3 linked regions of the Callithrix jacchus genome follow. The protein of the gene in region 1 purifies or fractionates together with the protein of each later gene. This does not show direct contact. Links are inferred from orthologs where the notes say so. Each region holds a gene or a part of one and is shown in the gene's direction. Other genes may lie near its edges. The genes, in order: FBXL17, KLHL9 and ZBTB18.

What was found.
Region 2: the proteins of FBXL17 (region 1) and KLHL9 purify together in Homo sapiens (co-immunoprecipitation; 3 studies listed by BioGRID and IntAct, with this or other methods). This does not show direct contact. The link is inferred for Callithrix jacchus from reciprocal best matches to the Homo sapiens genes FBXL17 and KLHL9.
Region 3: the proteins of FBXL17 (region 1) and ZBTB18 purify together in Homo sapiens (co-immunoprecipitation; 3 studies listed by BioGRID and IntAct, with this or other methods). This does not show direct contact. The link is inferred for Callithrix jacchus from reciprocal best matches to the Homo sapiens genes FBXL17 and ZBTB18.

The regions. Positions count from the first base shown.
Region 1 is NC_133503.1:101,704,638-101,708,386, forward strand, and holds the start of FBXL17 (F-box/LRR-repeat protein 17), read left to right. Parts: upstream 1-1,209; 5' UTR 1,210-1,627; coding exon 1,628-2,629; intron 2,630-3,749. UniProt on the Homo sapiens protein: Substrate-recognition component of the SCF(FBXL17) E3 ubiquitin ligase complex, a key component of a quality control pathway required to ensure functional dimerization of BTB domain-containing proteins (dimerization quality control, DQC).
Region 2 is NC_133502.1:128,320,275-128,324,023, reverse strand, and holds the start of KLHL9 (kelch-like protein 9), read left to right. Parts: upstream 1-1,191; 5' UTR 1,192-1,738; coding exon 1,739-3,592; 3' UTR 3,593-3,749.
Region 3 is NC_133520.1:42,083,483-42,087,231, reverse strand, and holds the start of ZBTB18 (zinc finger and BTB domain-containing protein 18), read left to right. Parts: upstream 1-1,093; 5' UTR 1,094-1,242; coding exon 1,243-1,255; intron 1,256-2,194; exon of another isoform or gene 2,195-3,017; intron 3,018-3,633; coding exon 3,634-3,749.

The DNA.
Region 1 (3,749 bases):
AGGTAAACAAACTCTATCTAAAGGAAAATGGAACCTAAAGAAAGAACTCTTTCACCTTCCTGTTAGAAACATCCATCTTGCCTTCTTGATAGCCTTGGTCTCTCATAAGTTGCCAAGCAATATTTCCTATAACAAGTTTAACTCCCATTGTCAAAAAAAAAAAAAAAAAAAAAACCATACATCTATCTGTATCCATCCTTTATTCACCTCTCCTCATTCTCTGTAATCACAATCAAGAAAAGCATCCTTCCTAAGTACTCTTCATTCCACCTTCTCCCCTTATTTCTCTCATTAGAGTGGCTCATTCCCATCGGTATTTGCCTCCTCCAATTTTTCCCTCGTGAAAGTTAACCTCGATATTGTTAAACCTTCTAAAGGATTGCCGGCACAGCTATTTACTCTTTCTAACCGGGATCACCAAGGTTTGTCATACAGCAGGCACTGCACCTTCATCTTTAAAATACGTAATATATGACTAGACAGGATTCCGAGGGTGCAGATAATGAAGCTATCTACAGCTTGTAGCCTGGGTGTTGCATGGCTCACTGGATGAGGAAACTGCTTATCCTTCAGCTGTATATGGGTAATTTGATATATGCTTTCATTCTGAAATAAAGTTGTGGAAAGGAAGTAGTACGCAACAAGTACGAAAACAAGTGGGGAAACAGTGGTGCGGTACAACCAATTAACCCCTCACACGACTTGGGTGCGCATCACCCAGGAGCCGCGCATCTGCCACTCCGCTCGCCGAGCGGTCAGGGCTCGCACAGGCCCTTCCGGCGGAACCCGCCTAGTGGATTCGAAGAGGCCTCAGTTTCCGAGTCGGGAGTAGTGATGGGGGTGGAAGGTGAGGGGAAAAGCCAAGGGGCTCCCGGCCAATGGCAGCTCTTGAACTTACACCTCCGGACGTCAGCGCGGCTGTGTAAACGGATGTCACACAGCAGGCTCGGAAGTGTCTCCTCCCGCCTCAGAAACGTGGCGCACGCCCAGCAGGCTCGGAAAAAACCTTAGGCGGCGGGAGGGAGGGGCGTGCGCCGCACCTCGTGAGCCCAGAGTCCCGAGCCCTCGCCGGCCGGCCTCCTCCCCGCAGTGTCTCTGTGGCAGCCGTCCCGGTTGAGCAGCTGGGCGCCGGCGTCCTAGCCACAAGCGCGCCGCCGCAACTGGCTCCGCCCCTGCCGGAATGGGCCGCGCGCTCCTGCGGCTCTCAGCAGAGTCGCGGGCGCGCGCGCCGCCGGCAGAGCCGCAGTTAAAATGGTCCGAGCGGGTACCGGCGTTGCCCCCGCTGCCGCGCTGACTGACTGAGCCGGCTGACCGGGCCCGACTGGTCGCCTAGCCGGCAGGCTCGCTCGCTCCCTCCCTCCCTCGCGTCCCTAAAGCTCGCTCCCATCGTTCTCCCGGCTTCTCTGGGCAAAGCATGTAGCCCCCTTCGGGCACTCCGGCGGCCCGCGGCTAACGCCCACCCCCCTACCGTCGCGTGTGTGCCCGTGTGTGCGTGTGTGTGCGCAGAGCGGGCGACCCCGCTGCGGGCCGGAGGCCGAGCCAGCGAGCGGCCTGCCCCGCTGCCGGGAGCTCGCCTCTCTGGGCCTCCCTCCCTCCCGTCCTGGTGCCCCTCCTCGGGGCCTTCTATATGGGCCACCTTCTCTCGAAGGAGCCGCGTAACCGCCCGAGCCAGAAGAGGCCTCGCTGTTGCAGTTGGTGCCGCCGCCGGCGCCCTCTCCTCAGGCTGCCCCGCCGGACCCCAGCCAAGGTGCCCCCTCAGCCGGCGGCGCCCCGGAGCCGGGACTGCTTCTTCCGCGGGCCCTGCATGCTTTGCTTCATCGTGCACAGTCCCGGCGCGCCCGCCCCCGCCGGCCCAGAGGAGGAGCCGCCGTTCTCGCCGCCGCCGCCGCCGCGGGACGGGGCCTACGCTGCCGCCGCCTCCTCTTCTCAGCACCTGGCGCGGCGCTACGCGGCCCTGGCCGCCGAGGACTGCGCCGCAGCCGCCCGCCGCTTCCTGCTATCCTCGGCCGCCGCAGCCGCCGCCGCTGCTGCCTCGGCTTCGTCGCCCGCCTCTTGCTGCAAAGAGCTGGGGCTGGCTGCGGCCGCCGCCTGGGAGCAGCAGGGCCGAAGCCTTTTCCTGGCCAGCTTGGGGCCGGTGCGTTTCCTGGGGCCGCCCGCCGCTGTGCAGCTCTTCCGGGGGCCGCCGCCGCCGGCCGAGCCCCTTACGCCCCTCGAAATGGTGTGCAAGCGGAAGGGGGCCGGGGTCCCCGCCTGCACCCCCTGCAAGCAGCCCCGCTGTGGCGGCGGGGGTTGCGGCGGCGGTGGCGGCGGCGGCGGCGGTGGGGGAGGGCCTGCCGGGGGAGGCGCCTCGCCGCCCAGACCCCCCGACGCCGGCTGCTGCCAGGGTCCGGAGCAGCCCCAGCAGCCGCTCTGCCCCCCGCCCTCTTCTCCCACTTCCGAAGGTGCTCCCACCGAGGCTGGCGGGGACGTTGTCCGAGTCGGGGGCACCGCCCCCTCGTCCGCCCAGCAGCAGCGTGAATGTGGCGACGCGGACTGTCTGGAGCCCCCCGAAAACCCCTGCGACTGTCACAGGGAGCCGCCCCCCGAAACCCCAGACATCAACCAGCTGCCGCCGTCCATCCTGCTCAAGGTGGGTCTGGGCGAGAGGCGCAGGGATGCTCGTTTTCCCCCACCCCGGGCCCCCGCCTCCGAGGCTTTCTCTCTCCTCCCCCTAAGCGCGGAGGAGGGGGGGTTCCCTGACAGCCGAGGGACGTCCGAACCGGAGACTGGGAAGCCAGTGGGTCCTCTGCCTGTGGCCTATTTTTTGAAGTATAAGCACTTGGAGTCTACTGAATGTCTTCATAGCTTGACTCTATAACCCACCCTTCAGGGTTCAGCTATTATTAGAATCCCAACCCAGTGTTTTAGAAACTTCGCAGGCATTCTGTGGGGGGCGGGGGGGAGGGAATTTGTTTTTAATCAATTGAGGAATTTATAGTTAGTGGGTAAAGGCTTTGCATATCAGTGTTTGGAAGTGTTCAGACGTTACTTTCAGGTTTAATGGCTGGTAGTTAATGTCAAACAGTTAACTTTTATTGAGCATTTACCATAATCAGGCACTGCGCTAGAGCTTTATATATACAGTATCCCACTTATTTATCCAGTTAACGCTGCGAGATAAATATATTGTTAATATATTTATTTTATACAAGAAGAAACTGATTTCTCCGTGCCGTGGAGCAGGGTTTTTACAGTAGTGAGTCAGGAAGAAGTGGTCTTAGCGCCTATGGAGCTGACAGTCTAGTGGGGCTTGAACTGGTTGAATGACTTGTGCAAGGTCACATACAGAAAGTAAAGGGCAGATCCAGGTCTTGAACGAGGTAATTTAAGACTACTTGATTTAAAAATTCCTTTGTTTACTATGTGGTAATGCCCTCCTACATTTTAACCCTTACGTAAAAGCATACAGATTACCAGAGGTAGCACAGATGTATTTTTTTGTTGGGAGACCAGTGAGTAGAGGTAGGTGTCCTGGATGAAATTTGTGTCATTTTCAACTACCATATTTTGCAGTTTTGTCAATGCTAGTGACAACCTTAGTTATGTAATAGAGTTTTTATTAAGTTATTATTAACTTTTTTCCTCTTTTTCTGCCGTCTCTCACCCCACCCTTTCTGGGGCTTAATAAATATAAACTATTTTCATTGTGGATGATACTAGAGACTAGCCATAGATAACCTTGTTAAGAATTTGGCTACTTTTAATATTAC
Region 2 (3,749 bases), on another chromosome or scaffold:
GAATCTTGCAGCCATGTATCAGAAACAAAGAAAACATTCAAAACAGATGAAATGTCCATCAAAAGGGCACTGGTTAAATAATTTATGACAACTCAAAGGGCAACAATAGAATTATTTAAAAACATAGATAAGCCCTTTAAATACTAATTCAGGAAGATCTTGAAGTGAAAAAAGATGCAGAACAGTGTACATGGTGTGCTATTTTTTATATAAAAATGAGAGTGTAATAAAAATATGACTATGTTCTTACTTTGCATTTGCATAAAGAACTAGAAGGATTTAAAAGACATAAACTTCAAATTTGGAAAATGGAAGAAATTGTGCCAAAGTATACATTGATTTGTATGTCAGAATTTAAATTTACCACTAATTAAATAAATGCAAGTTAACAAAATACTCATAAAGGGAAAAGTCAGCAGAAGGGGTGATAATATTTTGGAAATATTGTCTTGGATCAGCATTTTACTAACTATCCGTAACAGGGCTAAAATTTTGCTACCAGATTCTATAAGTTCACTACAGATTCTATATAACAATGGAGGATAAGAAGGTACATATTCAGGAACAAACAATGGGCAAAGGAAACTATATTATGTATAGTTATAGGAAAATTATGTAGGCATTTTTTAAATTGTGGAAAACAAAGGCATTTCAAGCCAAAAATTTAGAATATACCATTTACATAATAGTCACAATCTAGCAAAGAGACAAATACTTTGTGCTTGAAATTACAACAAATTCGAAAATATGAACCAAAATTGTAACTGGGGTATTAAATAGTGTGCGATAATTATTGTTTTGTAAAAAACTAAGCATCCTCCCGTACTCTTCTACCAGGTTTTCTTTCAATTTATAAAAAAGCTGCATTTCACTGCTATTCAAAAAAACAGAAGCTAGGAAGTGTAAAGCTTTAAAAAATGCATTTGGGAAACGTAAGAGCTCAGATATGCGAAAACCTTACATCAAATATGCAGCATAACATATGTGCACACATTCTGTTCTATTTAGTCCCAAGTACAAGGCAACTCTAAGACGTCGGGCTGGAGTCAACTTCAGGGTGCCCCGCTTCCCCAACCTCGCAGTCCCCGGTTGCCGCGCTCCTCCTCCCCCTTCACCACCCCCACACATCCGCCCACTGACGAGCTCTGGAGGCTGCGCAGCCGCAGTAGCCGCAACGGCCGCTCCCACCCCGGGGGATCCTGGGACTAGGCTTTCCCGGAAGGAGCCGCTTGGGGACCGGGGCTAGGCCGGTGTTCCAGGCCCAAGCCCAGGTCCAGGTCTGTGTTCAGGCACTTGCTCAAAGACTGGCCGGTGGCCGCTGTGACACTCTAGGTACAGCGGAGGGCGCAGCAGGCAGCTCGCTGAGGAGCCTGGACTCGCCGCCGAGCGGGCCCTGGAGCCGCAGTACGTGGCTGCGCCTCCCCTTTGCCCGAAGCGGAACTGCTGAAGGAGCGGCAGCGCAGGCCAGACGAGGTAAACCGGGTCATTTATCCACCTACAGGTCATGAATTATCTGTCTAATAATCAGATTTGAGGTCCACAGCCCTTTGTGATCTTGCTACAGGGCGATTTTTAGTGGATGACTGACTGGCGTGGCCTGAGGGGTGCCGCAGTGACTGCTTTCCTTTGATAAGGAAACGAGCTCTCTGTTCTTTGTGGACACCTCGTTGACTGTAAAACATTCCGGTTATAACTTCTTTCTCCGGCCTGCATCTCTGTACAGGAGGAAAGCTTTCACATGAAAGTGTCCCTTGGTAACGGCGAAATGGGCGTCTCTGCCCATTTGCAGCCTTGTAAGGCAGGAACCACACGCTTTTTTACCAGCAATACTCACAGTTCGGTGGTACTGCAAGGCTTTGATCAGCTTAGAATAGAAGGATTGCTTTGTGATGTGACCCTCGTACCAGGTGATGGAGATGAAATCTTCCCTGTTCACAGAGCTATGATGGCGTCTGCTAGTGATTATTTCAAGGCTATGTTCACAGGTGGAATGAAAGAACAGGATTTGATGTGCATTAAACTTCATGGGGTGAACAAGGTTGGTCTGAAGAAAATCATTGATTTTATTTATACTGCAAAACTTTCTCTTAATATGGACAGTCTTCAGGACACACTTGAAGCTGCCAGCTTTTTACAAATACTACCTGTTTTGGACTTCTGTAAAGTATTTCTTATATCAGGAGTCTCTTTAGATAACTGTGTTGAGGTTGGACGAATTGCTAACACCTACAATCTTATAGAAGTGGATAAATATGTTAATAATTTCATCCTGAAGAACTTTCCTGCTTTACTGAGTACTGGAGAGTTTCTAAAACTCCCTTTTGAACGGCTTGCCTTTGTGCTTTCCAGTAACAGTCTTAAGCACTGTACCGAACTTGAACTCTTTAAGGCTGCCTGTCGCTGGCTAAGGTTGGAAGACCCTCGGATGGATTATGCTGCAAAATTAATGAAGAATATTCGATTTCCACTGATGACACCACAGGACCTCATCAATTACGTGCAGACGGTAGATTTCATGAGAACAGACAATACCTGTGTGAATCTGCTTTTGGAAGCTAGCAATTACCAAATGATGCCATATATGCAGCCAGTGATGCAGTCAGATAGAACTGCCATTCGATCGGACTCCACTCACTTGGTTACATTAGGAGGAGTTTTGAGGCAGCAGCTAGTTGTCAGTAAAGAATTACGGATGTATGATGAAAGGGCACAAGAATGGAGATCTTTAGCCCCGATGGATGCTCCCCGTTACCAGCATGGCATTGCTGTCATTGGAAACTTTCTTTATGTAGTTGGTGGTCAAAGTAATTACGATACAAAAGGAAAAACTGCTGTTGATACAGTTTTCAGGTTTGATCCTCGGTATAATAAATGGATGCAGGTTGCATCATTAAATGAAAAGCGCACATTCTTTCACTTGAGTGCCCTCAAAGGACATTTGTATGCAGTTGGTGGGCGCAGTGCAGCTGGTGAACTAGCCACAGTAGAATGTTACAACCCAAGAATGAATGAGTGGAGCTATGTTGCAAAAATGAGTGAACCCCACTATGGACATGCTGGAACAGTATATGGAGGCTTAATGTATATTTCAGGAGGAATTACCCATGACACTTTCCAAAATGAGCTCATGTGTTTTGACCCAGATACAGACAAATGGATGCAAAAGGCTCCAATGACTACAGTCAGAGGTCTGCATTGCATGTGTACAGTTGGAGACAAGCTCTATGTCATTGGTGGCAATCACTTCAGAGGAACAAGTGATTATGATGATGTTCTAAGCTGTGAATACTATTCACCAACCCTTGACCAGTGGACCCCAATTGCCGCCATGTTAAGAGGTCAAAGTGATGTTGGAGTTGCCGTCTTTGAAAATAAAATCTACGTTGTTGGTGGATATTCTTGGAATAATCGTTGTATGGTAGAAATTGTCCAGAAATATGACCCAGAAAAAGATGAGTGGCATAAAGTTTTTGATCTCCCAGAGTCACTTGGTGGCATTCGAGCTTGTACACTCACAGTTTTTCCACCCGAAGAAAACCCTGGGTCACCTTCTAGAGAATCACCTCTTTCAGCACCTTCAGATCATTCTTAGGTCTAAGGTGTAATACCTTTGCAGTACATCGTGGGTGATCTAATACTTCCCCTTCAGTTGTATCTTCTTACAGTGATTGGTACAGTTATTAGATATAAAGATAACTGATGTTATTTGTCTTGTTTGGCTTAGTGCGTTTATCAAATGGCTAACAAAT
Region 3 (3,749 bases), on another chromosome or scaffold:
GGGCTGGGACGCTTGCGCCTCAGGCCCCAGTTCCTTTTCTACCTCTCGCCCTCCCAGCAGTCTGAGGAAATGTATTTGACATTCAGAGATGTCACAGCACCCTGCCCGGCCCCTGGTCAGCCCAGCCCGGGTCGCGTTACAGGTTCATCAGCCGTTAGAAAAGACCCACAAACTTTGGCCAAAAAGTTCTCAAACTTACTAGACCCGGCTTCTCCCCACACAAAGATTTTCTTGTGATAGTAAATATGACACAAGGACCCCCCCCCCCCGCAAAGAAAAAAGATTGTTAAGGGACACAGATCAAGGGGAAGGCAAGGTTCTGCTTTTTCTGAGCAGAAAGATAAGATATGCAGCTGCAGCATTCATTTTAAGTGACTGTAGCAGGTTGTATCAGTTTATTAATTGGTCTCATTGAACTGAAGTACTTTCCAGGATTTTGGAAAGTGCAGTTTGAGCCCCTGGGTACTGAGAATTGAAATTTGCATTAACTGTGGCAGTGTAAGAAATTTTACCGAGAAGGTAGTTGTAGATAAGTAGTTAAATAAGAGGGAGTAATACGGTGAACCAGTATGAAGTGATAGTTCTGAACAGGTCCGCCAACATTTGAGACATGGATACCATTATCTCAGCAGAAAAAAGAAGTGCCGCAGTAATGTTGAAATGGGACTGGAGATGTCAAATGGGTTGGTTTAAAAATATCCCTAAGAAACTAAACGTTGGAGTTAAATAAAAGTGAATCTGGATTTCCTGAATAGCACCGTGGCTTGAGTGTGCTGTCAGTATGTAAGCCAGTCCACCAACTTAAGACAGAAGTGTTGCTATTCCATAAATACAGTAGAACTCCATATGCTGAGTTTTTCAATTTCTTCTGTTAGAAAGTTTGGAAAAAAAGGAAGACTTTGAAGTATTTTGTTTATACTAACAGAAGAGAAAAGTTCTCCTAAGAAAAAGCTGGTGGCAGGAGTGTAGAGGAGTAGCATATGGCATTAAAAGGAGCACAGCTGGAGGTAGCATTTCCATCTGAACATGATGTCAGAGCAGCTGACAGCCTGCCATCCCTCAGCCTTTTATTCTAACACACAGACAGGGAGTTAGTGTGTGCGGATCTGTGGTGGAGAAGGTATCTCATTCCTCTCTAACATCATCTCCACTTTGCATCTGTCTCTCTTAGTCTGCTTTTTTTCCACCGATGTAACAGACCTGGAGCCAGCAGGACTCAGAGGAAAGGACTTAATCAGGTTTATGTGTCCTAAAGGTAGGAGTAGCAAGAGATTAGATGGAGCATATTTCTGTTTTGGTGTTTTGTTTATTTAATTTAAAAAATCACATTACTTTTCTAACCCAGTTTAGGAATAATATATGAAATTGAGTATTAAATGAACATCTTACTGGAGTTGAGAGTCTTGAGTTTGTTGAGTTTTAATTTTTTATCCCTTTTACTTGAGCAAATAAATAACTTTAATACACAGAAATATTTCAAGTTTGGAAATGCTAAGAACGGCTTTGAAATATTGCTTTTAGAAATCACGTTGGATTAAAATGCTTTTTTGTTCACTGCTATTTAGATTTGATTGGGGTGGTGGTGGGGAAATAGTAAACTGTCTGGAATCCAGCATTCAAACTTATATGAGAAGATTATTCTAGTTAAGAAGCTAGATTGTTGTGTAATTAATTCCACTGTGAAACTTTATTCTTCAAAACATTCAGCAGCACTACTGAAACATACAGCTGTAGTGCTTTTGAAACTGAAGGTTTTTTAAGAAGAAGAAGAAGAAGAAAAAAAAAGACTTTTGTCCCTAGGAGAGTAGTTTGACTGGTTTCCTCATATCTCTTGTCAAATATATATTTAAGAGATCTTTTATTTCAGCATAACAATAATTATTTGCAGGAGTTTTTGTGTTAGCGACTAATTTAGAACTTGTAGATTTGAGCTGCCTGAATTGGCCAGACAGCTGTAATCGCACTCCTCTATTCTTAATCTCTTTATCTGGGCAGCAGCTGCCATATGGCCACAGTCAGCTGGATCAGATGTTTATAAGCTTCCTTCTTCGTCCCTCTCTGTCCTCTCAGCCTCCTAATTTGATCACGGCTACCTTGTGAGCTGCCCTCCAATCTTTATTTTTAGCCCTCTCAAGGATTAGGATTGATGTTAGCTGTGGGGCACTTAAAGTGATTGTATTGTAAATCTTAGTTTATTCTAGCAGTGGTATCTTGCAGAATGTGTTTGGGGTTAGGATAAACTTTCAGTCTATCTTGCGCAAAGTGTAGAAGAGGAGGAAGAAGGGAAGTAATTTCTGAATATTCAATTAAGTGTATCTATTCCCAAAATGCACTTGCTGAGATGGACGGTGCGGAGCCTTGCTTCTGGTCACAGGGAAGGGGAAGTCGGGTCCTCTTTATTTGTAGGAGTTTACCCACTGCTGATGAATTCTGACCCTTTGTACATCTTTGCCTTTCCGTTCCCTCCATTTCACTTTTCCTCGTCAGAAAAGGAGGGCAGTGATGAGTATTTGCAAGAATAGAAGCTAGTGGGAAAACACCAATATATCAAATTATATTGAAACAAAGTATTTTCTGTTGGCTGAGGTAAGGCAGAACCAGGGGAAAAATCTAGTTTCTCTTTTTCTAAAAAGGTTTAAAAAAAAAAAAAGTTGAACCTGTAAAGCTTTTGAGTTTTATTTAAGCATTGTATACCTTTATTTTTAAAAGTTTGAATTAATTTTAATATGAAACTCATTTTGCCTTGCAACGGATCAAAGTTTAGATGAGAATTTTCTGAGTTAAATGAAGCCCTTCTGGTTCCTAATATTCTAAAAGTACAGTTTCTACAAAGAAATACAACTTTTTTTCTCAGTTCGTTTTTCAAAATCTTTGGATTTGTTCATAGTAAAGATGATCTTTTCCATCTGTTGGTGCAGTTCCTTCTGATCTCGTACATGTGTGCTGTACCTGCAAATCTGAAGGCATTAACATCTGTTTTTATACACAGGGCTTTTGTTGTAACACTGACTTTAAAAGTAAGTTATTTGCTAATTTCTGGACTAATTATGCAATTTCTTTTTTTTCTTGATTCAGCCAAATTGTGTGTGTGTGTGTGTGTGTGTGTGTTTGTGTGTGTGTGTATTTAAACTGTGCTTTCTAAGTACAGTCAAGTAGCAAAAGTAATAAAAGAATAGGGATGGTTGGACAAGTTTTCTTGTGTCTTCCAGGATATGTCTGGGACATTTCTTTGTTTGTTATATGAGTTCTTTCCTTTGAAATTAAAGCTATTTTGTAGGGTTTGTAGGACATAATTTGATAAGTAGAGTTCATAGATTTCTTCTGAAAGATCTAAATTCTCATTCTTAGATGCTGTAGTTAAAGGAAGGCTTTTGAAACTTCACTGAAAGTTCAACAAGATGGAGATGTGTCAGAAACTGTTTGGCGGGGGTGAGGAAGTTCAGAAAGTGTCCATTTTCCTTCTCGCTTTGAGGTCTTGTGCGTGTGATTTGGTGGTGCTTGGGTCATAAGCCTGATTAAAATTCAGGGACATGTACCACGGCGGCCAAAGCAGAATTAATTTTTTTATATGGGGACTAGAGCACTGAAAAGTGGTTCCTGACAGGCTCTAATGAGAAATTCCTCTCTTCCCAGGTTATGAAGACAGTATGGAGTTTCCAGACCACAGTAGACATTTGCTGCAGTGTCTGAGCGAGCAGAGACACCAGGGTTTTCTTTGTGACTGCACTGTTCTGGTGGGAGATGCCCAG